Linked DNA regions of Coturnix japonica. The protein of the gene in region 1 interacts with the protein of each later gene in a pairwise test. Links are inferred from orthologs where the notes say so. Each region holds a gene or a part of one and is shown in the gene's direction. Other genes may lie near its edges. The genes, in order: UBE2N, E3 ubiquitin-protein ligase RNF103, LRSAM1, TRIM32, ZNRF2, MID1 and AMFR.

Region 1 (4,395 bases):
GTAACTAGTACGACCAGATTTTGCTGAAGGAGCACATCTCAGCACAGCTATTTCACAAGCTCAATAATGAATGCAAATGAACTCACCCTTCACCGAGGCAAGATGAGGGAATGTTATTGATGAACTCTTTGAGATCCGATTCTGCAAATGTTTGATGCATTTTTTCTTTCCACATGTCAATACATTGATTTCATCGATTTCACAGAAAGTTACACCCATAATGTTAGGAGAACAATTTAGCGTTTAAAGGGCCAAACGTGTGTACAAGAATGCACAGGGCTGGTGTTTTTCATGAGTTGATATGAAAAGTTTGTAATTACTGGTGTATTCAACAGCTGAGGAGATCAAGTTGTGTAGAACAACTATGTACCTTTTAGTAGCCTTCTCAAAAGATAGAGAAGGAAAATTTGGTAAGTTTTTGGGAAGCAATGTGGGGAGGATGAAGATTTTGGCTTAGGGGAAGCTGAGGACAGGCCTCATGGCAGCTACAGCTCCCCATGGGGAGTGGAGGTGAAGTGCTGAGCTCTGCTCTATGGGGGGCAGTGACAGGCCCCAAGGGAACAGCATGGAACTGTATCAGGGGAGGGTCTGGCTGGGAGTTAGGACGTTCTTTCACTGTGTGGTGGGCACTGGCACAAGAACATTTGGACTATATTTGCAGACACAGGGTTTGAATTTTGGGTAGTCCTTTGTTGAGCCAGGAGCTGGAGTTGATTCTTGTGGGTCCCTTCTGACTCAGGCTATTCGGTTTCCTTGATTATAAGGAGGGAGACACGGCACTTCTGACATGCTTCATGTTATTGTAACCACCATGGGTTGATAAGAATGTTTCTATCTTAGGACACAAATCAAGCTTGCAGTATTTCTGACAGGAGCATGTTGGCAATTACACAGCCCAGATTTGCCAGTGTTAGAACTGTCCATTCTACCAGTGTGTGAAAACGGCGTAGCTGATCTAAATGTCCTGTTTGTGAACCAGGACTAAAGCAATTGACAGAGAATTGTTCGTGCAGGGTCTTGTTCCTGGGAAACTGCTTCATCTTTCTGTGCTTTCATTTCCCATCTGCTCAGCAACGGTGCTGGATGCTACTGTTGCTACGTAGCTGTAGTAGGGAGCCACAGGATGCTGCGGAGGTAACACCATCCATGTAAAACACCACAACATCCATGTAAAACACCTCATCTTTACAACATTTCCCTTCCTGTCAAGGAGGAAGAGACGTGACTAACGAGCCTTTAGTATCACAAAGGTGACATGTCCTGAGACATCTCTGTGACTGTTCGCTGACACACGTTGTACCACGCTGATGAAATCCGAGCTCTGTCAGCGCGGAGCTCCGGCCTCACAGCGGGACTCGGGGCAGGACTCGCCCCTTAATGGCAGCGGGCGCGGCCTACATTGCCCGACGTGCCGCGCCGAGGGCGGCGCCACCGGAAGAGCGGAGCGGGAGACTTCCGGCTGTGTGCGAGCCCCGAGCGGAGGCGAGCCCGCGATCTTGCACCCCGACGAGACAAGATGGCCGGGCTGCCCCGCAGGATCATCAAGGTAACCACGCGTGCCGCCCCGCGGGGCCGCGAGGCACCGACCCGCGGCTCGCTCTCGCGGCGGGCAGGGTCGGGCCTGGCGCCGCTTCCGGTGCGCGGGAGCTGTGGCCGCGCGGGGCAGGGCCGCTCCCAGGCCTCCCGCATCCTGCGGAGCCGCCGCCGGGCCCGGCCAACGCGGGGTTGAATGAGAGCGGGGCGCCGCGCCGGGCCCGCCCGTCCCCGCCGCTCCCTGCTCGGCCCGGCGGCGTGATCGGGTGGCGGGGGAGCCGCCGGGGCGTCCCGGTGTGCTGTGGGCGGCTGGCGACAGCGAGGCCGTGCCCGTCGCGGTGCCCGCCCGGGCGGCGTCCCGCGGCCCTTCGGGGCTCGGGCGGCTCCGGGCGCAGTGTAAGGCTGCTACGTGCGCTCCGAGCTGCCGGCTCTGATGTGCCTCGAGCTGTGTCTGCCAGGCTTCGCTTTTGGCTTCGGCCACTTCCAGCTACACCTCGGAGGGAACTGCAGGCTGGCTCAAACGCATGGAGTCACTCGGCACAGGCGCAGGGAGCTGCGTTGCAATGCAGTTCGTCTTGCTGATGATTTGGTCCTGTAGCCGATGTGAATGCTTCCTGGGTTGGCATCCTCGATCCTACTCGGTTTGCAGTATGTGGTTTGCAATCTCAAATCGGTGCTCACCGACTGCTCTTGTTGAAGTTACTAAACGATTCCAGTAAGATTCATTAGTTGGTTAGTGGTAGCACTTGTTTCATTTCCACCTGAATGAATGTCACAACTTGCAATAATGCTGCAAAGCTCTTCTTGGTTGAGCTTGCAAAGTTGGCAACCATTGTAAAACACAAGAACACAATGTGTTAACTAGCTGATGCAAAAAATAAAGATATATATATATAAGTCAGTATATCTATATCTACCTATCTATATAGCAGATGTTAGAGGAGATGGGATAAAAATTCAACAAGATTTTTTTTGTGTATGAAAACAGCTGAACTGTGACTGATGCTCAGAAATACAGGCAAAATAACGTGTCAATCTTACAGAAGTGAGTTTGGTCGCCCTGTTGCCTTGGTGCGCAGCATACAGTGGTGAATATATTTCAGGTCTGAGGAAATCTCGTGATATAGCAGAACTGGTGTTTATTGTAGAGATGTGGTGAGAGATGAGTTGTGAAGCTGATATGTCCGTGTTAGATTTTGCTGTAGGTTTTGATAGTTTTCTGGCCAAGCTAGTCCATACATTTCATTCTTAGCACCCTTGTTTCTTCTTTCTTAGCTTCTTAGGGAAAACCTAGAGCAATGCATGAAGCTCGTTTCCAAGATAGAGGATGGTATGAGAATGTTGCTCTTGTCCCTGGGGATAGACATCTGAATACCCCAAGCAGAGACCTAAATGGTCTAGATTTTCTCCAGCAGAGTCTTGCTTGGAATATTTCAGTGTTGTCTGTTGCAGGGTGGTGCATATTCTGGGCTGTCTATGTCCAGGTATGCACTGTAGGATGTCTGCAGACAGTTCAGGGCCTTTGAGTCTTGAAATGGGTGACCGTTTCTGTAGCTCCTGTGCTGTGCATACGTGAGGTCATCAGCGCTATGTATGGTCTAAGACTTGAACCTGACTAGTATTGCAGTCTTGAATGTGTAAGGTAATATTTGAAAGTATCACAGCTGCAGAGTTGAAGATCTAGGAACGAGCTTCATGAGTCTTGAATGAGGGCTGTTTTGATGCTTGCTACTGATCTTAATGTTGGAGTTAAATATCCTATTGCTGCTTGTCGTAGTTGGAGGGGAGTAAATGAACTCAGTGAGAATTTGAAAGATGAGGAAAGGAAATAGAAGAGAGAAAGATAGATGACAGAAAAGGGCTGTAGAAGGTTGAAATAATTCTAGTAACAAGTTGCAAATTTGATAACTAAATGCTTTGGGTTACTGCTAGGAGTAGTAGTAGGAGGGAAGGAGAAGACCTTTTCCCTTTGATCCGCGTGTGGCCTTTGTGTGGTCATCTGAGGGAAGCACAGCGATAGCTGTTGGGGTCTAGCAGTGTGTGTGCACCGTAGCAGAACCCAGCTAAGGGCTCAAAATGCAGTTGGCATTCCTCATCTTGATGGACTGCTGGCAGATGGCCTGGCTCTCAGGTTGACTAGCGGCCTGTGCTCTCCAGCCTGCTTCTCAGCTCTGTGCAGACTGTCATCCAGCCCAGCAGGAGAGCTCTGGCTTTCCTTGTCTCAGCAGAGAGCTCTATTTATATTTTCAGTACTTCTCCACGCTCATTTAAAAGGTGTCAGTATAGATATTGCAAAGCATTTTTTACAGGAGATAAAGGATTACTCCTGGCTCGCCGTCCTCAGATTACTTGGAAGGACAGGCTTTAAACAAGTGGGGTGAATGATCTGTAAGCTCAGGAGATGACTCGCTTTAGAAGTATGGCTTATGGTGTTAGCACATCACAGATGTTGAGTAGAAAATGTGATAGATGTGAATCCTTAAATCAGATGTATAATTGGAACTGGAGAAACACTGTGAACTATTTTGTTACTGCACATATTTAAGGAGTGAATCTTTGCAAAGTACCCAGTAAGCAAACCCAGAAATCTTCATTTTCAAATGTTTGTTAAACCAATTATTTCCTGTGTTGCAATGTCATGTTGCTCCAGTAGAGTAAGGAATTGAATTGCATCTTTTTTTTTTCTCCTTTCCTTTGGCTGACATTCAAAACCACCTCACTGCTGTGTCAAGTGCAGTGAATATATCTGAATGGGATGGGCACCGTTGCCTTGTGTCATCCTTTAGCATTTCTTCTTTCAGTTTTCATTGCTGCAGTGATCTCATCATTCATGGGTTGGTGTCCAGGTCTGTGTGTCAACTG
Region 2 (4,288 bases), on another chromosome or scaffold:
AAAGATTCAAAGATACACGGGGAGAGCAGGGAAATGGAGCTGCTTCTTGTGTATGTGACAGAAGTAAAAGGTCTCCATTAAATGTCTCTGAGAAAGAAATGTGGTCTTGCAGTGTGTTCTCAGCACTCAGCCTGTTTCTGGTCCTACCGACAGGTGACATTAAATGTGCTTTGTATTGAAAATCCCTCGGCTCTGCCAACTGCGATAACAAAGCCGCTCTTGGGTGTGTTGTTGCCAAGAGGGAAGGATTAATCTCCCTGATGCTGTGCCACTTTCTCATCAGGGAGGTGGGCCCTTGGAGGGGGGTTTAAAACATGTAGAAAACCCTCTAACTGTTTTTTAACAGCTCTGAAGAGTGTGGCCGTTTAGATGCTTCCTACAGGTCAATATTTATGTTACAATTCGGTTTTCATGCCTTAGTACAGTATTACTTCAGCGTGTGTGCGCTCCGAGGGGCTGTCAGGATTCTTTAGAGGAAGCTGTGCTATTTCTGTGTTTGTGTATGAGTTGGCAATTTTAATGCAAACTGTGGTTTCTTAAAATAACCAAACCCACAGAGGCGATGCTGAGTTCCCTTTGGAGGAGAGCCTTCATCTCAAGGACCGAGTGTGACTGCAGTGTGTTTCGAAGCAGCCTAAATCACCTCTTACAGCCTTTCTCATGCTTCCTGTGCAGAACCCCAGTGAAGTGGGTTGGTCTACAGCCCATAGCAGGGAGGGTTGAAACCAGCTGATGGTTATTGAATCAACCTAAGCCATTCTATGGTATGATTCCCTGTGGTCCCATTGGGTTTCTGGACGTGTTCAGGACCCTGGAGATGTGGCACCCGGTGGTGGTGGTGGGGATGGATGGGTCGGTGGTTGGACTTGGTGATCTCAGCGGCCTTTCCCAACCTTAAGGATTCTATCTATGATCCTGTGAACTGTCCAAGCACTTCAGCAGCACTTTATGCAGCACTTCTGGCTGCATAAACATCATTCTCCGAATGAAAAACCTCAGTCTGGGTTGCACTTTACCCATTCTCGCTGTTTTCTTACACGTATTTTACAGCAACCGCAGCAATCGGGTTCTGAGCTGATACCGAGTGCAAGCACAACCCCTTGATTTACGGCACAACCTCTTCATTTATGGCGCAGCCCATTTGCTCTGCAGGCCTTCCCTCTGCCGTCAGCGGGCGAGAGGCGGCGGGGCCGGGGCTATAGGGACCTCCGGGGCCATAAGGGCCTCCGGGGCAGCGAGGCGGAGGCTCGGTTGGGCTCGGCTCGGCTCGGCTCGGCTCGGCTCGGCTCGGCTCGGCTCGGCTGGGCTCGGCTCGGTTGGGCTCGGCTCCGTGGGTCCCCGCCCGCCCTCTCACGTCACTTGTTATGTCTCCGCCGGCGGCCGCGGCTCCGCCGGGGCGGGGACAGCGGCGGGAGGGAGGCGGGGGGCGCGCAGCCCCGCCGCGCTGACAGCCCCGCGCCGCCTCAGCGCCGCCACCCGCGGGGCAGCGCCGGCCGCCCCCCTTCCCCCCCCACAACCCCCGGCTTGTCCGTCCGTCATCCCGCCGGGAAAGATGTGGCTGAAGCTGTTCTTTTTGCTGCTGTATTTCCTGGTGCTTTTCGTCCTGGCCAGGGTGTTCGAGGCCGTGGTGTGGTACGAGACCGGCTTCTTCGCCACGCAGCTGGTGGACCCGGTGGCGCTGAGCTTCAGGAAGCTGAGGACCATCCTGGAGTGCCGCGGTTTGGGGCACTCGGGGCTGCCCGAGAAGAAGGATGTCCGGGAGCTGGTGGAGAAGTCAGGTAGGGCCGCTTCTCCTCCTCCCTTCCCTTCCCTCCCTCCCCTCGGGCCTAAGGCGGCAGCTCCGGCCAAGGACATCGCGGTGCTGCGGCGCTCGGACGGCGGCATTAGCGGCATTAGCGGCATTAGCGGCGCTCCCCGCTGCGGCAGCGAGCCCAGCACGGGCCCGGAGTGACCCCGGAGCGCCCCGAGCCCGGCACGGTGTTGGGGCGGCTGCGGAGGGAGGCACGGGGTGGAGGCGTTCAGGAGGAGGAGGAGGCCTCGGAGAGGCTGCCGAGAAATGGTTTCCCTTCGGGGAACGGTTCCCTTTGGCCCGGCTGAAAGCGAATGTCATCCGCCGTGAAAAACGAGGAGGAAAGAATCCAGATACCCGCAGGCTGCAGGGTTGCTATTTACAGTCGGGGCCGGGTTGTTAAGCCGCGTCCCTTTCCCTACGGTGCGTTTAGAGGTGCCGTCAGGACGGGGATGGGGGAGGCAGCGCTGTGGGATCGGTGGCTGCAGCGTGGAGAAGGGCAGGGAAGTGCTGCAGAAGTTGGTACAGGCTGGTTAAAGTGGGGGCTGCAGCCCTGAGGGTGCGTGCAAAGTCCAGGTGGTGGTGGTGGCCCAAAGGGAAGTGGCCCAAAGGGCTCGAGATGGGCTGATGTAATCAGCGTAGTGCCAGCCAAGCAGGACATTGCTGCTTGTAAATCACTGGGCAAAGGGCTGCTGTTAGAGAGAGAAAAATCCCCGTGCTACATACAGGAAGGGGACTCAGGAAGCCAGACAGAAATAAAGAGAAGGGTTTGGGTGAATACATGGAGAGCCACAGCCACAAAACAGGCTTTAAGAATTGATGGTAAAGCCAACCATCTAAATCTAATTCGCTTGTATTGTTCGTTGTTTATTTATGTTGTTTATTCACTTTGCTGCTTCACCAGTCGGCACCAGGAGGCAATTTGGGTATTGTTTCCAATCACTTTCGCTCCTTGGCTGTCACGTACTTTCATGATGTCATTATGTTTGGGCTGCAAATGCTGCAGGGAAGTGTTTAACGCCAAACAAACTGTATTAACTGACTTGAAATGTCATGGAAACAACTCTGGTGCCAAGAGGCTTTGCAGAATTTCTCTCATAATTTCAAAGTTGGAATTCCACGAATACTTTTTGTAAGCTCTCGAGCCTTCCAGCTGTAACACAGCACTTCTTTCTCCCCTTCATATTGTAGGAAGCCTTTGGGCAAGACTTCACTTCTTCCAGTTTAACATATTAGTTGCCAAAATAGCAGTTGTCATGAAGGGTTTTCAGGTAGGGAGGCTCAGGAGATGCTCATTTGCTCTCACGTGGGATACGTCTGTGTATTCATGTGCGCCGTCAAATTGTTCGTAGTCAGGTCACTATGGATGGAACTAAAGTAACTTCAGTTCAGTGCCTTCCTACTGATAAGGGTTTTGAGCACCCATTTAAAACCTACGTAGTGAAACTGCTGCTTTCTGAAATGGAATCGTCGTTACTATTAGAATTTGCTGCTATGAAGTGATCTGTCACCATGTTCAAACTGAATGTGTCCAGTTGTCTCTTTTTCAGGTGACCTTATGGAAGGGGAACTTTATTCTGCTCTCAAGGAGGAAGAGGCCTCGGAGTCAGTTTCAAGTACAAACTTTAGTGGTGAAATGCATTTCTATGAGCTTGTAGAAGACACAAAAGATGGGATCTGGCTGGTACAGGTATGGATGTTTTATCATGTATTTTTTATCTATTTATCTCATTCAAATTAAGTTTGGAAGCAGGAATTGTTGGGAGTGGTTAACTAGTAGGAAAAATGCATAGCAGAGAGATGATGGCAGAGATAAACCACATCAAGGAGATCAGAAGGAGCAAATATGTTCTAAAACCTGAGCAAGACTGGAAGCAACAGAGTTCCTACACAGAGAAGAAGAAAACCTGTTACTCAGTGGACTGCTTTTAGAAGACAGCCAGCAAACAAGCAGAGTAGCACACATGTAGCACACAGGCCCTGATACTGTGCAAGTTTGTGTATTGTATGAAGTGCATTAGGTATAGATGCTCCCAGCTGGCACAGGAGCAGTGCCTTTGGTCTTGCTCTTCTTTTATTATATGCTCAGACCCGGTTGGTTTAAGTGCCTATTTATCTAAGGGGCTCAGAGCAGTTTAGCAGTCTGTTACCTCTTCATTCACAAACGAGAGAGGTGCAGCTTTCCAATCCAGAGGCCTGTTTGCGCAATACATTCTGGAAGCTCAAAGTTTGCCTTTACCCAAACCTTGTGGGCACAGTGATTTACAGCGTGCTTCCCCAGGGCTGCATGAGAACGAGAAAACATTCAGACTGCTGCAAATGAGGCTCTGGAACAATTTATCATCACTGTTGGGAACATATGAGAACATAAGATAAGTAGTCTAGATTAAGAATGTGAAAAAATACTTTCCTTCACCAACATCTCCATTGATAAGAGATCTTTGTAGGTGCTACCAGCCTCAGTGGGCAATCAGATTTTTCCACCAGGTAATTCACTGT
Region 3 (4,590 bases), on another chromosome or scaffold:
GCCATATGATGTTACAGCTGTTGTGTCAGCACAGACAAGCTGTAGGAGCTTCACCCCACCAGTAATTAGGTTGTACCAAGAATCAGCCAAGAGCCTGAGCCACTCGGATCCCACAGCAAGACTCAGTCCCATCCCTTAAGGTCAGTACTTACCAGACAGCTCTCGAGCCAGAGATCTGTGCCTCATCTGCCGGGCGATGTTCACTACCTCATCAAAGGTGATACTGCCATTGTGCTTTACTGTGAAACAAAGCAATGGCACCAGTGAGCTCAGTGAAGCACAGTGCAATTCCAGCCCCCCATTCTCCAACTGAGGAGCAGCATTCCTCAGTTCACACAGAGAGCCGTAAGGTTACAGCTACACTGGGGCTGTGATCAGTGCTGCTGTTCCCAGCCTTCGGCACAGAGCTACCCACAAGAAGAATAACTCTGTTTCCTAGGTTGGCATTTTCTCTCAGCTCACCTCTGGACTATACAAGTCACTGTATTATTAGACAGGTACAGTGGCGGGTGGCTGTTCTGCTCACTTTGATGCACTTGTTTAAGGAAATCCCACCGCCCCAAAACCCCCCTGGCACTTGTCTGCCAGTTCACACCAAGCAGCCACAAGGTGCACGTTCTTTTTCAGTACTAAATGACACCAAGAACCAAATGCGGAACAAAACTTACTGTTTTTCTGCTTCTTTCTGTCACGGGGGGGCTCCTTCAGAGCTTTGATAATCAGAGCAGAGGCAGAAGGAACCACTTCAATCTAAACAAAAAGAGATAAGGTTCTTTTCCCCACAATCCAAGCACACAGATAACACAAGGCCAGGCCTTCATTCCCTGCTCCCCAGCACACGCCTCTCCCTCCAGCACAGGACTTTGTTCCCAGCCTTTCGGCACAGCCCTTCCCACAGCCATTGGAGCGCTGCTTCCTGGGCTGGGGCTGCTCTCAGCTCACCACTGGAATATACCAGCTACTGAGTTCAAGGCAGGTACAGTGGCGGGTGGCTGCAGGACGGGCTCAGAAAGGCTTCATTCAGATCTCCACAGCCCTCGTTTCACATCCCATACAACACACACAACCAATGCACTCAGAAGGCTCAGACGTTCCGTTCCCACCCAGGCCTTCCCAGAAGCCCCCACACACGGTGTGGTTCTCATTTTATCCACCTCGGAAGGATGAAGGGCTGAGTCGACCCTGCCGGGATCGTGCTTGTGTTGGCAGCGAGCAGCGCCCGCTCACACAGCGATCCCTGTTGGCGTCGTGTACCTGCGCTTGCCTGTTCTGGATGGTGAGTTTCACCGTGATCCTCAGCCCCTTCCAGTCCCCGGTGGCTTTGGCGATGTCATCCCCGACCTTCTTGGGAGACTGAGCACAACACACACGTTAAGGTCATAAATCGATCAATACGATCATCAATCAATCAATACGATCATAAACCATTAATGAACGCCCCCCCCCATTGCGGCCTACACGTACCAGGCCGAGCGGGCCGATCTTCGGGGCCAACGCGGAAGTGGCTCCGACCTCCCCTCCGGTGCAGCGCAGATACACTGTGGGCACAGCAACGCTCCGTCAGCTCCTTACCGCCATCCCCGCCCCCACAGCCCCCCCCAACCCCACACGTACCGACTTTCACTTCGGTGGGATCGAATTTGGGCGGCATGGCGGCGGATGGCGGCGGATCGCACCGACTGCGGCCTGCGCCACGGCGGAAAGGCTGCGGGAAGCGCGGGGGAGATATATATAGGCGCCGAGATCTCGCGAGATCTTGGCAGCTTGCGGGATCCGCCCTCCGCTCGCACGCAGAGAACTCTATGGTGCGAGCAGGGGGCGCTCTGACCGCTCGTCTCTATGGTTTGGAGGCCCCGAGGGGATGCGGGGCGTCATGACAGCGGGCGTCGGTGAGAGCGGCCGGGATGGGGCTGGGGGCTGGGGGGCTGCGGGACGCATTGCGGGGATGGGGGGACGATGCTGCCGCTTCTGTGGCCGTGCTGACACTGCGGGTCACTGATAGGAGCGGGGCGGGGGGTCTCGCTGTTCCTTATCCACGTCCCCCCTGTTCTGCCCTGCATCAATCCTGCCTGTTTCTCTTCCCCTGCCATCTCAAAATGAAGGATTGTCTCATTTCCAGCCCCAATTTACTCCCTGGTATTTCACAGCTGCTCGTTATTGTGACGGAGTTTATCGGTTTTGAGTCTGAGTATCTCGGTTTTGCCCCTGGTTCCTGCTTTCTGGACCCAGCTTTCTTAGTTCCCATCCTGCAGTGGATCCCGTGTTTTCCTGTGTGTGTCAGTGTGTGTCTTCATTTATCTCACACAGCACTGACAGGACGTTCCTCCTGTCCCAGTTGTTCATCAGTGCTCCCATGACTCACACTGACATTTCCGCTGTGCCGGTGTGTTGGTCTCAGCCTGTGTGTCCCAGCCAAAGGTCTAAACAAGGCTGTGATCCTTCTCTTCTTTTTCTGTCTCCCTTCTTAGAGCACAGTTCTGTAGTCCAGGTTCCTCTCACTCCAAGATCCACCTGCCTTCCTTTATGCTGATAGCCTGTGCCATTAAGAGCTGTAACACAACTCAAGATGCCGCTCTTCTTCCGTAAGAAGAAACCCAGTGAGGATGCTCAGAAGCGCCTTGAATACCAAATGTGCCTGGTAAGCAACACTGCTGTATCCTCTGTTGTCTGTACATAGTCCCAGATGCCTCGTTACTGATCTCATCCAGGTTAGCAGGTTGCCTTTCTAATATATTACTCCTGCCTTCCTGGTCTGTTCTTGCCCTTCCCTCCACACATCCCCTCTGTGCTACTTCCTTCCCTTTCCTCTCCTGTGGTTCCACATCACATCTTCCAGCCCACCCCACATTCAGGACCTCCCGTCCTTTCTCCTTCTTGCTACTTCCAGCAATACCCAATATGCAGCAAGGGCCCATTCATTCATGTTCTAACTCTGTGTATCTTCTCCTACCAGGCAAAAGAGGCTGGTGCTGATGATGTTCTTGACATATCCAAGTGTGAGCTGTTAGAGGTATGTTCTCTGGAACTTTCGATATTAGCTGACAGGTCTTATTTCTCAGTCTATTTGTTACCAAGCATCAGATTTAATATCATGTCTGTGAGCTCTGGGACAGAAATGGCCTTGTGCCTGGTCCACTTCTTTCTCTGTATGCATGTTCTCTGGCTTTCAGGGCTAAAGTATCTTAAGTATCATGTGCATTTGCATTAAAGTTAATTACTGAGACTTTAGAGGTGGGTATTGTAGAAGTGCTTAGAAAATATGGGATCTGGTGAAGTCTGATGTGACCGTTTGTAAATTGTTTTTAGGTTCCATACGGGGCCTTTGCAACTTGTAAAGTCTTGCAGAAAAAGGTAACGATACGATCCTGAAGTGGATAATTCTGTTATTGTGCATGAATGTGGCTGTTGTGTTTGAGATGGTTGTTTCTGGCTGTCTGTGATGCATGTGGCCATTTGGCAGGACTAACCTGTTGTGTGTGCTGTACTGCTGCTGTCATGAAATACGAGCTGATGATTTCTATCCTAACCTAATGAACGATATTTCTCATACAAAATAACTAAAAGTCTGTTTAATATTAAATATTTGACCTCTACAATTCATTTACTATTTTAGGTGACTGTGAATAAGATACAAAACTCTTTCACAACCTCTGCAATTAAGTCTTAGCAAAAGTCTTATTCTGGATCCTGGTGCCCCTTATGCTCACGTTTCAATGGGTTTTTCCCTCCTCAGGTGCTGATCATTCATACAAATAATCTCACATCTTTAGTTCCAAAGTCCTGTAGCCTCCTGAGTCTCATAACTGTGAAGGTAATTGTGACTTTTAACAGCCATTCTAACTGCATTCAAACACACTACCCCGAAAAATTCCTCCTGTCTGACTGTTGTTACCAAAAAGTGGTAACAAAACGTGACGGCTCCCCTTTGTAGGTTTACAAAACCTGGTGGATCACTTGAATGTGGGTGAGGCTGGTGATGGGGGCACCTGATGTTGGTCTTTCTATGGAGCAGTTCAGGCCTTAGACCCTGCAGAAAATATGTTTTTCTGCCAGGCTGATTTTCATGGAGATCATTTGTTCACTTGGCACGTCCAGTTTGGTGGGACAGTTCCTGTGGTGCCTCTCCTTTCCCTGGTCACCTGTTTAGCAGTGGACTCTGGAGTTTTCCATTGCTCAGTAATTCCATAATTCACAGCCTTTTGTTTTTGCACGATGATGTCTTTCCCCAACACTGTTTGATGACATTCGCTGCTCTTGCAGGTTCTAGATCTGCACGACAACCAGCTGGCATCGCTTCCTGCTGATATTGGTCAGCTGACATCTCTTCAGGTAAAGGATCTCCTGGATGCCAAGCGTCTGTAAATGGTGTATTAGGGAACAGCTCATACTGGCTTAAGACACTAAATGTCTTATTGCATTTCAGAGGGTCTGCTCTGCTTTGGGGTGCAGCTCTGGATGCATATCACTGGCAGATTATTAAGAACTCATTCTAAAAGCATTTTTGCTTTTATAGCCTAGAAAACTAATTTTAAATCACCCTTTCTGGGGCTGCAGAATAGTCCCAACAGCATAGATATGGAGAAAACCTGA
Region 4 (2,600 bases), on another chromosome or scaffold:
ACGTGCCCCAAGGGCATAATGTCATTGCTATCAAAGAGGCTGCTGAAGAGCGTAGAAGGGAATTTGGGACAAGGCTTGCCAGACTTCGGGAGCTCATGGATGATTTGCAGAAAAGAAAAGCATCTCTGGAGGGTGTTTCGAGTGACCTGCAATCTAGATACAGAGCAGTTCTGCAAGATTACAGCAAAGAAGAACGCAAGATCCAGGAAGAACTGGCCAGGTCACGCAAGTTCTTCACCACCTCTTTGTCTGAAGTGGAGAAGGTAAATAATCAGGTAATGGAGGAACAAGCTTATCTGCTGAACTTAGCAGAAGTGCAGATATTGTCTCGCTGTGATTATTTCCTTGCCAAAATAAAGCAAGGAGATATTGCTCTCTTGGAGGAGGCAGCAGATGAGGAAGAACCAGAACTGACAAACAGTCTCCCAGGGGAGCTGATACTTCACGAGGTTGAACTCCTTAAAGTGAGCCATGTGGGACCACTGCAGATTGGGCAGGTGGTGAAGAAACCCCGGACTGTTAACTTGGAAGAATCACTCATGGAAACTGCAGCATCCTCATCGGCATCATTTAGAGAGCCTGACTTGATGCAACAAGAAGCCAGCTGCACACCAAATTCCTCCCCAGTCAAACCAAGGATGCCCGAAGCAGCTGCAAGCATCCAACAGTGTCACTTCATCAAGAAGATGGGCTCCAAGGGTAGCCTGCCAGGGATGTTCAATCTGCCCGTCAGCCTCTACGTCACTCTCCAAGGAGAGGTGCTTGTGGCGGACCGAGGCAATTTTCGTATCCAGGTTTTCACCCGCAAAGGTTTCCTGAAGGAGATCCGCCGGAGCCCCAGCGGAATCGATAGCTTTGTACTGAGCTTCCTTGGAGCAGACCTGCCTAATTTGACTCCCCTTTCTGTCACCATGAATTGCCACGGCCTCATAGGTGTGACCGACAGCTATGATAACTCCGTCAAGGTGTACACCATGGATGGCCACTGTGTGGCATGTCACAGGAGCCAGCTAAGCAAGCCCTGGGGCATCGCGGCTCTGCCCTCTGGGCAGTTTGTGGTGACTGATGTGGAAGGGGGGAAGCTGTGGTGCTTCACTGTGGACCGTGGCGTGGGGGTGGTGAAGTACACCTGCTTGTGTAGCGCGGTGCGGCCCAAGTTTGTCACTTGTGATGCTGAAGGGACCATATACTTCACTCAGGGGCTGGGGCTCAACTTGGAAAACAGGCAGTACGAACACCACTTAGAAGGAGGCTTTTCTATTGGCTCTGTCGGCCCAGACGGGCAGCTGGGACGCCAGATTAGCCACTTCTTCTCTGAGAACGAGGATTTCAGGTGCATCGCTGGGATGTGCGTAGATGCCAGAGGAGACCTCATCGTTGCTGACAGCAGTCGTAAAGAAATCCTGCATTTTCCTAAAGGAGGTGGCTATAATATCTTAATCCGGGAGGGACTCACCTGCCCGGTTGGTATTGCCATTACTCCCAAAGGGCAGCTGTTGGTGCTGGACTGTTGGGATCATTGCATTAAGATCTACAGTTACCATCTGAGAAGATATTCCACCCCTTAAAGGCATTTCTCTGGTGAAAACCCCTGTCATTAGCAGCAGTTCTTCCAGCCTCACTGCTATCTGACAGGGACCAGTGTCAAACACTGAGAAAACTGCACCACGGCCCAACAGGGATTGGCACGGAGGCCATCACGTTTTCTGTTTGGGAACAAGACAACTAACATGGTGGTGCCCTGCATTTTCTCTTTATGAATCTGCACAGTAGAAAAGAAAAGCAAGAAGGAAGAGATCCTTCTGGAATATTGGTTTTTTGCTAAATGACCAGTCGCTCCTTAACCCTTCTCACCTCCTTATTCTGCATTGACTATGTCTTCATCCACTGTACCTTTCTTTGTGCCATAAACACTGACTGGCTGCCCTAAATCACCTTCCTTTAGGGGACTGGAGAGGCAATCCTCTCCTCGCCATGGTACTCACGAGGAACTCGGTAGCAGTTGTCTGGGCAACTACTACAGAAAGCAATTTCTGATTGCAGCACTGCATAAAATAAAATAGCCCTCTTAAACTGCACGGAGATGGAGCTTACTTTCAAACTGAGGAGCAAGGGGTTTCTCTCTCTGCTTTTCTGCTATTCAGGAGATTGCCCCTGTCGTGCCGTTTGTGAACCGCGTCTGTTCAATGTGAAGTGAGTACAGTGCAATCATGGGAGACCGAGCAGAGCCAGAAAACTGCCCTCTGATGGCAACAGGGTGATTATTACTGCTAAGAATTCTGCTGGGGAGGAGGAGGGTGGGGACTGGAGGAGAAAAAAACAGGGGAAATCTGTTGATATTCAGGATTGTTCTGTTATTAAATGTATCTTGGGAACTGTCTTTGGGAGGTACCTTCATCTGGGGGGGAGGCGGGGGGTAGTAAATTAGATCACACACAACTATATGTTCACCTGCACCTCACTGCCTGCTCTCCAGATCGTCACCCTTACAGTCAGGTTTCCACATGTCTGCACTTTATATCCCACGATGAGGGTTGGGGGGCTGGGGAGGGGGGGAGATTGCTTCATTTTAATCTCTTTTAGCACTCGGAAGCACATCC
Region 5 (4,599 bases), on another chromosome or scaffold:
CTGTGGAGGCAGGGGCTGTCCTGTTGCTGTCTGCAGCTGAGCCCTTTTCTGTGAGATACTCTATGCTGTTAATTTTCTGACTGTACCACTGAATAACTCTTCAGATGTCTTCAGGCCTATTTTTCCCCCACAGGCTTTACTGTTTAATTTTAAATTGAATACAAGGTCACTCGTAACCAAATAGGATCTATTTAATACCTGCTCAACTCTTAGGATCACCATAAGGAAAATACAGATGGTACCATGGTACTGTGTAGCAATGCAGTACTTCCAAAGCGCTGTTTGTCCTAACAGCCAGTGGAGATGCTAAGAACGCACTAACAGCTCCGAGCACACTGGCCTCTAACAGGGTGAAACAGGCAACGAGCGTTCTGCAAGCAGCAGAAATTATGAGTCATGTCTGCAACATCCTTTACCCATGTGAATTCTTGGAATCGAGTGAAAGAGGAGGAATTCCTATGGCAGCTTTTCCTTCTGTGGGAACATTAACGGGATCTCAGGCTTTTCCTGTTGAAATCTCTGAGATTTTTGCCTCCTCCACCGTTCAAGCAGAGGTAGCTCTTCTAGCACACCAAGCTGTGGGCCGCACTGTGTCACAAAGCATCTGTAACAGGGAAGGGGAAAGGTTTGAATGGGAGGCCTCCATGACTGTTCACCTGTAGGAATCACATTTGTGTACATTCTAAGTGTAAGACGCTCAACATCACATACCATTAAGAAACCGAGTATTTCTGCTCTTGACTTGTTTCACTTTGAGCAAACCGAGCCCGTCAGCCACACAGGTACAATTCACAGCAATTTGGGCGCAGTTTCTATCTGTGTATTGCATTCAGCAACCGGGAGACTCCAATGAGTGAGGACAGCCTCCATCCTCCCGGCCATGAGCCGACCTCAGGGCTGCACCAACCTTGTTACATGGCTTATCCGAGATGCCACTGCTCGCCAGGAGCCGCGTCAGGACAACCTTCCTCCCCACCCGGGCACCCCGAGGAACGACACAGACAAACTTGGTGGCTGCACACTGTATTAGAACCACTACGGCCGCCCCTCAGCGAGTCACACGGACAGACGCAACTCGGCTCGCCGCGGCCCTCGCTCCCGCCTCCGCCCCTAACGGCCGCAGCACCGGCTGCCGGCGGCGGTTGAGGCTTTAACCCCTTCCCTTCTCCTCCTTCCCCCGGTCCGAGCAGGGTATCGCCTCACCCCGTGAGGGCATTGCGGAGACCGGCTCCGCCGCCGGCCTCGCCCTCAGCGCCGCCCCGCACCTTGCGTGAGGAGAGGGGCGGGCGGCTCCGCTCCGGGTTCCAACACCCCGCCGCGCAGGGGGAAGGAAGGCGCCGTGAGCCGCCCGCTCCCAGCGCGGGGCCGCCCCCAGCATGGCGACAGCGTAGAGGAGCGGCCGTGCCGCGGTGCCCGCCCCTTCCCGCCGTGCCCCCCAGAGCGCGGCGCGGAGCGGCGGGATGGCGGCGGCGGGGCCGAGCGGCGGCTGGGCGGCAGGCAGCAGCAGCAGCAGCAGCAGCAGCACCGTGCCGAGCAGCTCACGGCGGCGCCCCGCATCCGCCGGCAGCGGCCGCGCCGGGACCGCCAGCTGAGCCGGATCGCGGCTGGCGGCTCTACCCTACGGCACCGACGCACCGAGCGACGCGTTGCAGCGCCCGGCGCCTTCCTCTCCGAAGGGCGGCGGGGGACCATGGGCGCCAAGCAGAGCAGCCCCACCGCCGCCAACGGCCGCACCCGGGCGTATTCGGGCGGGGATTTACCTTCCTCCAGCGGCGGCGGCGGCGGCGGCGCTAACGGGACCGGCGGGCGGGCGGCGAGCGGGCGCTACCCGCACCTGGCGGCGGCGCCACACGGCGCTCACGGCGGATCGGCGGCGGCGGCGGCGACGGGGGGCGCGGCGGGCACGGCGCCCCGCAGCAGGTCCCTGGGAGGTGCCGGCGCCGCGGCCCGCGCCGCGCAGTCCGCCTTCAACATCCCCCACAGCAGCGGCCCCTACGGCTCGCAGGACTCGGTGAGCAGCACCCCGGAGGAGGGCGGCCGGGACCGGCCCGCGGGGGGCGGCGGATCGGCCGGCGGGCCCCGGCTGGTGATCGGCTCGCTACCCGCGCACCTCTCGCCGCACCTGTTCGGAGGTAAGGGCGGCCGCGGGGGTAAGGGGGGGAGCTGAGGGCGGCCTCTCCGTGTACCCATGGAGGCTGCAGCCCGCCCGCTGTTTGTAAAGAGTTTTTGGGAAGTGGGGGCTGAAAACTGGAAGCAAAGCCGGGGCAAAGCACGGTTAGGAGGAAACGGAGCCTCCCGGCCGCCGACTTTAGACTTTAATAGCCGTAATCAGTGCCTGTGTAAATACTCCTGCCTTACTACTTACATAATTAGAATTTAATTGGATCATGCGTCTCGGCCCTTTATTCTAAAATCGGACCAAACCTCTCTTTAGATGCTGATCGCTACTTGGCCGACGCTCGTGCCTTCGAAGCTCTCGGTTTCTCAGTTGTGAGAGCTGAGAAAAAGAGAAGCGAAAGAAAGTTGTTATTTCCCCTAAGAGAGGGGCGCGGAGGGCTGCGTTTCCCTACCCAGGCGGTCCCGGGGACGGCCACGTGTGTTGGGCAGCAGAGGAGCAGGAGGCGAACCAGCAGCCCGGGCCCTTTGAGAAGTGCATTAGACTTGGAGCGAGTGTGTGCAGCTTTTTTGTCTTTCTAGTTTTATTTGTTTAGCTAGTGGAGGGTTTGCGTTTTACTGCCTGGGTTCTTTGCTTTAAAGTTAAGAGCCTGCACGGAAACTGCCGACTGCTTGCAGCTCTACTCATTCTAAAGGTCGCTGTTTGTACTGGTCACGCATTCAGGTGCAAGGTGACATTTTCCAGTGGATTCATTCTTTTTGATAAAGCCAATATTTATCATGGAATACATGTGTTACAAGCAGGCTGAATACCGACCGGCTTCCCCAACAGCTTTATTCTCAGTAGGGCAGGACTAACAGCAAATTACCACGTTTCTGTATTGCAATTAATGGACTCGTGCCTGGTGTTTGCAGCAGACTGGGTTCCCTTCCCTCCCGTGGTGCGACCTGTTGGCAACTGAAGCCTGGTGGGGCGCTCAGAGCTCTGTCACATGCCCATCACTGTACTGACCTGGGGGCACCAGAGCTGTCACTGCCTGCAGCCAAAGCCATCTCCTCCCTGTGCAGCTCTGAGATGCAACAGAGAGCTGCCAAGCCCTGTCATGTTAAAGGAGTATTTGCCCTGAAGAAAACTACTGCTGTCATAGCACCGAGCTGCTGAATAACAGTGCTTTGTTGCAGGGGTACTCGCTGTAATGTCAGGATAGCTTGCTGGAGGTAGGTGCATATGTTTCTTTTAGTGAGGAAAAGATGCCCTACTGCGAGTGTTGTGAGGTTCATGCTAAGCACAAGGGAATTAAAGCATATGGCTTTAACGTTGTTGTAACGAAAAACTTCTTTTTTTCTCCTTGCCTGGATATTATCTGACAGCCTGCCTTGCTTCAAGGAAGCTCTGAGTTAAATGTAAGTGCTGCAATGAGGAGCAATGATCTACCTAGCAAACTGGTCACATGCAAGAAGGTCTCTTCAAAACAACTCTGAACTTGATTATGCTTTTTTTTATGGCATGTCATAATGCATTAATTGCTTTACAACAGCTTGTCTTCTACAAATCTCTGAAACTGGGCTACTAAAGGGGATGTAGGTTGAGGTGAAGCAAAGCTTATTGCTTCTACTGGTGCAGAAGAAGCACCGGCAGAGGTGCATTCTCTTCATCTCCTCATGAAAAAACAAGGAATGCCATACGTTGGGATTTTAGTGGCCAGTGTTAAAATAGACTCTCCATAGGTGGTCATGAGGTGATCATAAATCATTTTGCTTTTTCTGTTCTAAAAATCTTAGTGTTTCTTATCAGGATGAATAACTGTTTAACTGGAATACAGCAGTGCTGGTGAAAAAGACCTCATTCGATATACTCCTTTTTTACAACTTAAATATTCTGTGATATCAGTGACACAACCAGATGATGCTGAATTGAGACACCCCAGTTTAGTTGCAGGCTTTGTGTTTCCTCTGTTTCTCATACCAATTAGGTGCTTGGAATGTGTATCCTCAATGAAGATCGTAACTTGGTATCCTCAGAATGGTGAAAAATAACTTTGAAGGAGTGTTTTTGACCCGACGGTAACTAGCTCAAGCTTGTCTAGGTGTGGTATCTGGCATTTAACTTGTGTATTAAATGCATGCTGAAAGTACCCTCCCTTGTTTTGTAACTTGCAAACACAGTTGTTTCTTTTCGTCTTGAAAACACCAAAATTAATTTGTAGAATTAGCACAATAGTTCTATTCAAATTAAAAAAAGAAAGAAAGAAGAAGAAGTTGAACTGCATTTTTGTCTGTTTATAGTTTTAGGGATACTGCTTGGCTTCATCAATCATTGATGTGTGGGTGGGTGTTGCATTTGTTTGATGACTGTAATTAATTTACCACTAGTGAATTAGACTGTATTGTCATTTTTACTGAGCAGCTTTATATACAGAAGAGGAATATATACATATTAATTCTCTAATGTAACGCATTTAAATCCATACTATGCTTATTAAT
Region 6 (4,460 bases), about 71 Mb from region 1:
ACTGTATAGGGGGACTATTTTAGATATATTTATTGAGTCTTACAGCTTTTATTGGTATTGTTTTTCATTTTTCTCCCCTTATAAGCCAAGCTCCTGCAGTATCAAGAGGTTGAATGTTTACGCCTCAGGGGAGAGGAAAATTATAAGGAAAGAAGTATTGAAAGCGTTAGGAGTGGTCATTAGGAATAGCTTTTCTACACAGTATATTATTTGATGATCTCTAAGACATATATATTACATGGGGATAAGAAAAGTTCTAGTCCACTGGGTAATGATAATTTCCAGCATTTGGGTGGTCTAGAGGTCATCAGGAAGAGGATTTTGTCTCTTTTCTGTCTGAAGTTATAAGGGATACATCCGAAGGAACAAATGAAAGAAGGGAAAAAGAAAAAAAAAAAAAAAAAGATACACTTTATAGTTCAATGTACTGTTTTAAAACATCAGCTTTTCATCACTTGATCAAATCTTTTAACTCTTATTTCTTGTTTTGGTTTCATTCACCCTTTGTTCTACTTGCTCCTTCCTGTCTTTCGCTCCCTGTCCCTCTCTGCCTATGTTAGTGTTGCGGCTTGTTGAAGGAGGGCCATAATGAACAGGGGAATCTTGTGTGAGTAGTATAAAGGGAAATGAGCAGCATGATTTTCCCTACGGTTAACTGATTGCTTCTTGAAGACATCTGAGTTGATCTTGCAGAAGGGGTTTAGTGAGCAGTGGATGGGCAAGAGGAGTCAGGTACACCTCTGCTCTGCAGAGTGCGGTGTGTGCTTGTTCTGGGTAAGCACCCTATCCATTTATCTCTGTGTGGGTGGGTGTGTCTGTTAATGTATCACAATCACACCTCCCGGACTAAGACAGGTCTATCACCAGAAGCTCAGCTATTACATTGTCTAGAAAAGGAAGTAGGAAACAGTAAACAACCTTGGCTTGTACTGCTTCTTTTCTTTTTTTTCTTCCCCATTGACTGCAGTGTCGCAACTCTTTTTCATGTAACGTTTGATATATGGCAGCCTTTTCGCATAGAAAACTGATACAATTGGAATTAATTTAATGCTACCAGAATGTGCGTGCGTGTTACCTTTGTGAACCCTTGTGCTTTTCTTGGAGTCAAAAGTATAGGCTAAGGCAGGTGTCCTGCAAAAATATCAAGTGTTTAACGTAATAGTGACATAGCACTCACTGTTGCTATAGATGTAAGAAATGGAATAACTTCATAGGTGCTAAACTGCTGCAAGGAACCCACTCTCCCCTCTGGTGACACTGAAGTGCTACGCAAGCAAACTTCAGGCAGGCAGCCCCATTTGGTATTTGTGGAGTTAACAAAGTTAAGCTCTCTCCCGGCTAGCCTCTTCCACTAGGAATGCAATTAGTGTTCACCTATATAAGGAAACCTGCCAGGCGGCGGGGCTGGGGCTGGGGCTAACTCCGCGCCCAGAGAGCGGCACTGCGCGGGCTGGACAGGGCTCGGCGGCAGCAGCAATAGCAGCGGCAGAGGCAGCAACAGAAGCAGCAGAGCAGCCCAGCGCTGGGAAGGACTATCCCGTTTTCTTCAACTTCAAGACGAGGAGGAAAAGAGCAACAATGGAGTGGCAGGTATGTCGGCACGGAGCCCTGAGGCGGGAGGGTGGGAGAGAGGCTCGGGGGGTGCCTGCGAGACTTGTTCCCGCAACTGCTGTTCCCCCCCTGAAATGGCTTGCTGGATTTTAGAGAGGCTGCAAAGCAAAAGCGTGCTTCTTGTTTGCAGCAACATCTGTACGCACGATTACATTCACTTATCTGACGTTCTGTGCGCTTCTAATTCACGTACACCTTTTTACCGGGGTGATAATCAAACTTTCTTATCTCTGATGGAAATCAGATGTGTGACTGGAAATGAGGCTGAGATGCTTTGCTTAACTCTACGAACCTCTGCAAATGCGGAATTTTATGGTACTGTCACGTCTGGAGAGCAGTCCTTCACTTTGTAGCGTGAAACATGCCTTTTGTGAAAGGTGTGCTCCTTTAGCCCTTCCGGGATCTCAGTGTTCTTTATTGTGATGTGTGTGAATGCAGCCCAGTCAGCGTAGCTGGGATGCGTTTGCTGGAATACAGGGAGTTCCTGCAGTAATAAAGCTTTTTCAGTGAGTTAAAAAAACAAACTGCAGGTTCTGCTCTAAGAAATGTAAGCAAAACTTGTTCTTCTACTGTTAGAGATTACACCAATTCACAACAAGGATGTGTTGCCTGGGAAATATTTGCACATTCTGTTAACCTTCACAGGAGGTTCTGTGTAAAATCCTGACTGAGAGAGTGAAAAGAAGGGGAGGAAAAGTTTGTTCCGTGTAGATATTGGTGAAGACATAATAAAAAGTCAAGTTGAAAACTTACCTCAAACAGCTTTCTAGTTGGAAGAATGCTGCTATGCAGTCCTTCAGGATAGTTAGCCATTAGCATCAGCCAGCACGTGAGTTCTGTGGCAGCTCACTCAAGTTGTGTGCAGTTAGGGTATAAAAGATAGCAATGAAAGAATACTTTGAGTTATTTCTCTGAAAAGTGCCTTCTAAGGAGAAACCACACAGAACTATTCAGCAACAGGTGGAGTTTATTTTCAAAATGCTTTTGTTATCTTAGCAATTGGTAGACATAACAATGCTTTTCACTAATTTTCATTGTTAATCATATTTAAGTGGGCGTATGAGTGATAATGCACTAGTTATGGGAGTTTCAGCTCTATCTCTTCTGAGGACCAAAGTATGAAAGTAAAGTACAGTCTTACTACTAAGGGCTTAAAAGCTTAGAGTGAAGATTATTGTTATTTAAAAACTCATAAAGTTTTTACATTTTTCTGAATGAATGTCTACTTGGAGTCTGTAATGCGACATTACTAAGGAGGCATCAGGATTGTAATTCACCTGTGTTGATACATGTTCTCATTCACTTATATGCATGGCAATCCTATTGAGGAATCAGTGGGAATGACACACACCAGTAGTTTCAGTAGAGCATTTTATTGGAGCATCAACATGGCAAAGAAGGTATACACTAGACAGTGCTTCAGAACTGCAGCTAGTGAGTTGATTGTCATGAAACATCTTTGGTCTTGGTGGAAGGCAGTACAGCAAATACAGTACCAGTGGACCAGAACCATGCAGTTCCTTTGTATCACTTCTCATCCTTGTGATTTTCAGTTCATATCATACAATCACAGAATCATTTGAGTTTAAAGGGATCCTTAAAGGCCACCTAGTGCAACTCCCCTGCAATGAACAGGGACACCTACAGCTAGATCACGTTGCTCAGAGCCGAGTCCAACCTGACCTTGAGTGTCTCCATGGATGTGGCATTCACCACATCTCTGGGGAATATAACCTTTATTAATGTTAATTGAGTGGAAGCACAGAGGATAGATTTTAGTAGGGTCGTTAGTAATTGAAGTATGAATTTAAAGGGCAGGATAAGGCACTATATAAACTTACTCTTGAATCTCCTTTCCCCTAGCATATCTAGTAAATTACATTGTCCCCCTTCATTTGGCATCTAGCTGTGCTACAGTCATTCATGGTCTTTCGGCTTCCCAGTGCAAAATGAGATAGAACTCTGATTCAAAGCCTGCACAGAATCTTCTGGGCTGGCATGAGCTTACTCTAGCCCCGGGTCTGGGGTCTGGAGCTCAAGCCTTATAAGAAACAGCTAAGGGAGCTAGGAGTCTGAAGAAGAGGAGGGTCAGGGGAGACCTTATTGCTCTCTATAACTACTTGAAGGGAAGCTGTAGTGAGCTGGGTGACAGCCACTTCTCTTGTGTAACTAGTGATAGGACTAGAGGGAATGGCCTCAAGTTGTGCCGGGGGATATTCAGGCTGGATGTTAGGAAGTATTACTTTTCTAAGAGTGGTCAGGCACTGGAATGGACTGCCCAGGGAGGTGGTGGTGTCACCAATCTTGGAGGTGTTCAAGGAACATTTGGATGTTGAGTTGATGGACATGTCTTAGTGAGGACTATTGGTGATGGGTGGATGGCTGTACTGGACGATCTTGTAGGTCTTTTCTAACCTCAGTGATTCTGTGATCTGATCAGCAATCTGTGGCCATCCTGGGGCTGGTCCCAACTGCAGGCTTTTCCAGGGAGATGGGCGGCAGTGTGGGCACTCATGTTCTTTGCCATGAGGTTTCTTGTACCCTCCTCTGCCACCCAAAGCATATGTAATGGGGCAGCTGCAAAGCCTGTGCTATCACACCAGAACCTACCAAGAACTAGGATCTGTGCTGCTACTTATATATATATATTAACTTGGTGCTGCAGGTGTGGTACTGCATGAGTTTTCATTGACTCAGATGCACAAAAAACGAGTCCTTCTCTGACCAGGATATATGGCTGGGAAAAAAAATTTAACCTTGTTTACAGTAAGAAGAGAATTGAATAGTAGATGAAGCAACTTAAAGGATAGATCTTGTGTATTTTCTGAAATCACAACAAAATCCAGTAG
Region 7 (3,818 bases), on another chromosome or scaffold:
CTGAGGTTAGACTGAGCTAACCAGGCCAGAACACTGCTAACATCTTTGTTTCCTCTTTTGCAGTCTCTGCTGGTGACAGTCAGAACTGCTCATGTGATTTTGCGGTGAGTACTGCTGTGGTGATTGCTCAAGGTGTTTGTGCACGTGGTGTGGATGTAAGAGCTGCATGCAGTCACCTTGCTGCATTGCAAATGTGTATTTGGGGACAGGCCCCTTCTGTTTTTGAAACATAAGTTCTACAGTGCGTGGATTGCTTTAGAGGCTGCTAATAGAGCAGTGCTTAAGACATGGATTAAAATGGATTGGCACTGCTGTTTGGGGGTTGATGTATGCTCCTTGATACCATCATACTGTGTTTCTTTTAAGCTCCTGATCTTTCTAGCTTTTGCTCTAGAGAAGCAGAAAGCTCATGCATCTGCAAGGCGTATGTAGGGCATGACATAAAGAGCAAAAGCTCTTTGTCCAGGTCACCACCAGCTTTCTGGGTCTGTCATTAAGCTGTAATGCCTCACCTGAGACACACCTCAGAGGCTGAGCAATGTGGGTCTGCAGCATGCAGTACTGTCATCTCAAAAGGGGCTCTACGAGCACACAGGAGTTTAGTGAACACCGTTGTGCCTTGTGGTGGCATCTGTAGTGCCAGTGTGGGCTGAGCACTGGCTGCTTTTTGCCTTTGTCAGATATTGCTGTTTGAAACCAGTAAAAGTAGAGAAAACAAAGAAAGTGCTGGGCCTACAAAGGGCAAAGAATCCAAACCGAGAAGAATAAATAGCTTAGAGATTTTAGCTAATGAAAACCAGCAAATAAAGTTAATGTCTGGGCTCTTGCAGATATGTAATTCATCTCTGGGATCTCAACCATGAAGGAACGTGGGAAGGTAAAGGCACATATGTGTACTACACGGATTTTGTCATGGAGCTGACCTTGCTTTCGCTGGACTTGATGCATCATATCCATATGCTGGTATGGAGCACTGCAGCATTAGCTGAGTACCTTGCCTTAAAACACTGGGTGCTGGGTATTTCAAATAGGCATTTTTGTTTTGCTTATTTCGTGTTGTAGAGAAGTTCAGTAAATGAAGAGGAAAGTGTTGTATGGGGCTTCTGGCATTCTTTCGTCCTGTGTAATTGCAGTCTTCATAAATAACTTTGTTATGGAGTATTAACTACTGTGTAATTACCTGTTTAATTGGCTTTATTATTGAGCAATCACATGGAATTATTTTCACTGGCAGCAGGGGGCATTCAGACAAACAGGGCTTGAACACCATTTCTCCTGTTATGAACCCTGTGCTACTCAGGTGGTTTTTGAGGGAAATGCTGTTTGAGGAAATGAAATGAGGAAAAGCATTTCCTGTGAGCAAGTGTGGTTAGTTTGAATGTTCTTAATAGAAGAACTGATTTCCTGGGTTCTTGTTCTTTTAAGCACAGATACAGTTTCTTGTGGCTGCCTCCCAGTTCCCACTTCTGATCCCTGCTGTTGTTTTTTTTTCCCCGCCAAAGCTGTTTGGCAATATCTGGCTGTCGATGGCCAGCCTGGTGATCTTCATGCAGCTGCGCTACCTGTTCCACGAGGTCCAGAGAAGGATTCGGCGGCACAAGAACTACCTGCGTGTGGTTGGAAACATGGAGGCCCGGTGAGTTGCCTGCTTGCTCTAGGGTGTGCATTGTGCTGTGGGGACAAGAGCCCAGGCAAGAAGTTGGGGGTTCTCTTATGTTCCTTTGATATTCGATGGTATGTTGTGAGCTGGAGAGATGCTGTCTTCCAAAACCTGCTCTGAAATGTTCCTGCTGTAGAGGGTGTGTTTTTACAGTCTTTGCTTCCATTGTATTTGTGACAAGGGACTCTCTGTCTCAGTTTAACAGATACACAGGCTGACTTTTACCAGGCATCCTACTTTTGTACAAGTAATGCTGATCACAAGTGAACTCTTCAGTCCAGAATTTCTTCTGTTTGCCCTTATGTACTGCCCTAGGTGGTAGGGGTGGCATAAGGTCTGCAGAGCTCAGCCTGCTTCATGTATTGCCTTTGGCTCTGATGGAAATTAATGCTTCTAATTTCCTCAGGCTGTGTCATTCAGTTACTGCCAGAAATTTAATCAAAATATTAATTAAAAGAAACAACCTGTTCATTAAACGTGAGGCCAACTTCAAGCCAGCTTTGCACCTGGAGCAGAGCTGAGGGCCATTCAGGATTACTTTAGGCCATCCCCCTGTACCAAGACAATGTAGAGAAGTGGAGAGGCCTGCTAAAAACTGAGAGTGTGCCATGTGCTTCTCCATCTCTGATGCCTTGTCATAGTTCAGCTGTGTCCTCAGTAAAATAAAGAGCAGCAGGGAGTTTTTTTGTACATTGCGGTACCATTTTCATTTTAAACTCTGATGGACTTGACCAGCTCTGATGCCTGCTGTGCTCTAAGTAGAGAGAGCAGTCTTCCCTGGAGATTCACAGTGTTTTCTTTGCAAAAGGGCAGGTAGTGCTATCACACCAGGTTAAGAGCTGCATAGCCATGTTCATCCACAGTGGGTTACTTCTTTCTGGTAACGCAGCTGCTGAACCCTTTATATTGCTCTCAAAGCCATTTTGAGTTGTTAATGTTTCAGGCATCTTGTCTGATGACTTTGTGTAGTTGGTTTTTGGGTGTATTGTGCAGTGGCTGTACTGCAAAATGTTGTGCTACTCATCTCTGTACTGTCTCTACTGTTTGTCTTTGGGTACTATGCAATAGATACTTGCACTGTAGATTAAACATATAATAATTCAAAGACAAATAGAGGTTGGTGAAATCTGAGGGCAAAATTTGTCAAACCAGAAGTACTTAGGAAGACATTTTGATGGGTACAGCTATTAAAGCTCATTTAGAAAAATGACATAAGCCAAATCTATACAGGTTATAACTTGAGGTTCTTGACCTAATGATCATGCTCCGTGGAAGGCAGTAAGTCATTTGGGCTTAGGGTGTATGCAAGATGTGCCAAAAGAAACTGTGCAAGAAAGCATGGGAGAGACGTGTATGATAGTTTTCCTTTACAGCATGAGTTCCGGTTATGGAAAAGGTAACAAACATCCTGGCACGCCTCCCTCGAGGAAAAATGAATGTGAAGGGTAAGGTTTCCTCAGTGCAGAATCCTTTAGGCAGAAAGCTGTGCTGCGCTGGGATAATCATTACTGCTGTCTCTTCCTTTTATAGGTTTGCAGTTGCGACACCTGAGGAGCTAGCAGTCAATAATGACGACTGTGCCATCTGCTGGGACTCCATGCAATCCGCGCGGAAGCTCCCCTGCGGCCATCTCTTCCACAAGTATGTTGCTGGGGCTGCAGGGCCTGGGGACAGAGGTTATGTGGGGCAAGTGTGACACTTAGAGCAGGGTGACAAGCAGCCGACTCAGCTGAGCTGTGGTTGCTGACTGCCTGGGCCATCTTGGTTTGCTTCTAATTACAGAGCAAAAGTAGCATTTGCTTCCATGTTGGAGCTGTTTCATTTGCTGCCTTCTTTCCTCTGAACTAAGAGTATATTTGTTGTCAGCTGCTACACAGGTAGTACTGAGTTATGGTATCTCAGTTGCAAGTCTGTACCCTGCCTTTCTGTGCAAATACTTGGTAAAATAGGCCTTCTTTTTTTTTTCCCTCTGTTGGTCTCAGGCTTTTCTTCTTCCATGTGTGCATGTTGGTTTTCAGGCAATGAAGAAAAATTGGAGTTAGATCCTTATATACTCTTCAGATACCAACTTTAAGGAGAAAAACAGCAAATATTCTTTGTACAGCACATCTTTACATGGTGATGCTCCAGAACATTTGTGGAGGTCATGTCTGATTAG

The links.
Region 2: the proteins of UBE2N (region 1) and E3 ubiquitin-protein ligase RNF103 interact in a two-hybrid assay, tested with the Homo sapiens proteins (3 studies listed by BioGRID and IntAct). The link is inferred for Coturnix japonica from reciprocal best matches to the Homo sapiens genes UBE2N and RNF103.
Region 3: the proteins of UBE2N (region 1) and LRSAM1 interact in binary tests that used the Homo sapiens proteins (3 or more experiments, as listed by UniProt). The link is inferred for Coturnix japonica from reciprocal best matches to the Homo sapiens genes UBE2N and LRSAM1.
Region 4: the proteins of UBE2N (region 1) and TRIM32 interact in binary tests that used the Homo sapiens proteins (3 or more experiments, as listed by UniProt). The link is inferred for Coturnix japonica from reciprocal best matches to the Homo sapiens genes UBE2N and TRIM32.
Region 5: the proteins of UBE2N (region 1) and ZNRF2 interact in a two-hybrid assay, tested with the Homo sapiens proteins (4 studies listed by BioGRID). The link is inferred for Coturnix japonica from reciprocal best matches to the Homo sapiens genes UBE2N and ZNRF2.
Region 6: the proteins of UBE2N (region 1) and MID1 interact in a two-hybrid assay, tested with the Homo sapiens proteins (2 studies listed by BioGRID and IntAct). The link is inferred for Coturnix japonica from reciprocal best matches to the Homo sapiens genes UBE2N and MID1.
Region 7: the proteins of UBE2N (region 1) and AMFR interact in a two-hybrid assay, tested with the Homo sapiens proteins (2 studies listed by BioGRID and IntAct). The link is inferred for Coturnix japonica from reciprocal best matches to the Homo sapiens genes UBE2N and AMFR.

Annotation. Positions count from the first base shown.
Region 1 is NC_029516.1:40,865,095-40,869,489, reverse strand, and holds the start of UBE2N (ubiquitin-conjugating enzyme E2 N), read left to right. Parts: upstream 1-1,396; 5' UTR 1,397-1,516; coding exon 1,517-1,546; intron 1,547-4,395. UniProt on the Homo sapiens protein: The UBE2V1-UBE2N and UBE2V2-UBE2N heterodimers catalyze the synthesis of non-canonical 'Lys-63'-linked polyubiquitin chains. This type of polyubiquitination does not lead to protein degradation by the proteasome.
Region 2 is NC_029519.1:77,624,151-77,628,438, reverse strand, and holds the start of E3 ubiquitin-protein ligase RNF103, read left to right. Parts: upstream 1-1,447; 5' UTR 1,448-1,552; coding exon 1,553-1,778; intron 1,779-3,339; coding exon 3,340-3,479; intron 3,480-4,288. UniProt on the Homo sapiens protein: Acts as an E2-dependent E3 ubiquitin-protein ligase, probably involved in the ER-associated protein degradation pathway.
Region 3 is NC_029532.1:871,054-875,643, reverse strand, and holds the start of LRSAM1 (E3 ubiquitin-protein ligase LRSAM1), read left to right. Parts: upstream 1-1,772; 5' UTR 1,773-1,889; intron 1,890-2,468; 5' UTR 2,469-2,566; coding exon 2,567-2,638; intron 2,639-2,953; coding exon 2,954-3,010; intron 3,011-3,306; coding exon 3,307-3,351; intron 3,352-3,733; coding exon 3,734-3,811; intron 3,812-4,260; coding exon 4,261-4,329; intron 4,330-4,590. Other genes in the region: RPL12 (60S ribosomal protein L12), read right to left, coding at 153-239, 669-750, 1,255-1,353, 1,465-1,538, 1,615-1,651.
Region 4 is NC_029532.1:2,238,495-2,241,094, forward strand, and holds part of TRIM32 (E3 ubiquitin-protein ligase TRIM32), read left to right. Parts: coding exon 1-1,568; 3' UTR 1,569-2,600. UniProt on the Homo sapiens protein: E3 ubiquitin ligase that plays a role in various biological processes including neural stem cell differentiation, innate immunity, inflammatory resonse and autophagy.
Region 5 is NC_029517.1:38,037,401-38,041,999, reverse strand, and holds the start of ZNRF2 (E3 ubiquitin-protein ligase ZNRF2), read left to right. Parts: upstream 1-1,486; 5' UTR 1,487-1,690; coding exon 1,691-2,132; intron 2,133-4,599. UniProt on the Homo sapiens protein: E3 ubiquitin-protein ligase that plays a role in the establishment and maintenance of neuronal transmission and plasticity. Ubiquitinates the Na(+)/K(+) ATPase alpha-1 subunit/ATP1A1 and thereby influences its endocytosis and/or degradation.
Region 6 is NC_029516.1:112,129,063-112,133,522, forward strand, and holds the start of MID1 (E3 ubiquitin-protein ligase Midline-1), read left to right. Parts: upstream 1-1,433; 5' UTR 1,434-1,590; intron 1,591-4,460. UniProt on the Homo sapiens protein: Has E3 ubiquitin ligase activity towards IGBP1, promoting its monoubiquitination, which results in deprotection of the catalytic subunit of protein phosphatase PP2A, and its subsequent degradation by polyubiquitination.
Region 7 is NC_029526.1:510,443-514,260, reverse strand, and holds part of AMFR (E3 ubiquitin-protein ligase AMFR), read left to right. Parts: intron 1-63; coding exon 64-104; intron 105-830; coding exon 831-963; intron 964-1,502; coding exon 1,503-1,636; intron 1,637-3,033; coding exon 3,034-3,105; intron 3,106-3,190; coding exon 3,191-3,301; intron 3,302-3,818. UniProt on the Homo sapiens protein: E3 ubiquitin-protein ligase that mediates the polyubiquitination of lysine and cysteine residues on target proteins, such as CD3D, CYP3A4, CFTR, INSIG1, SOAT2/ACAT2 and APOB for proteasomal degradation.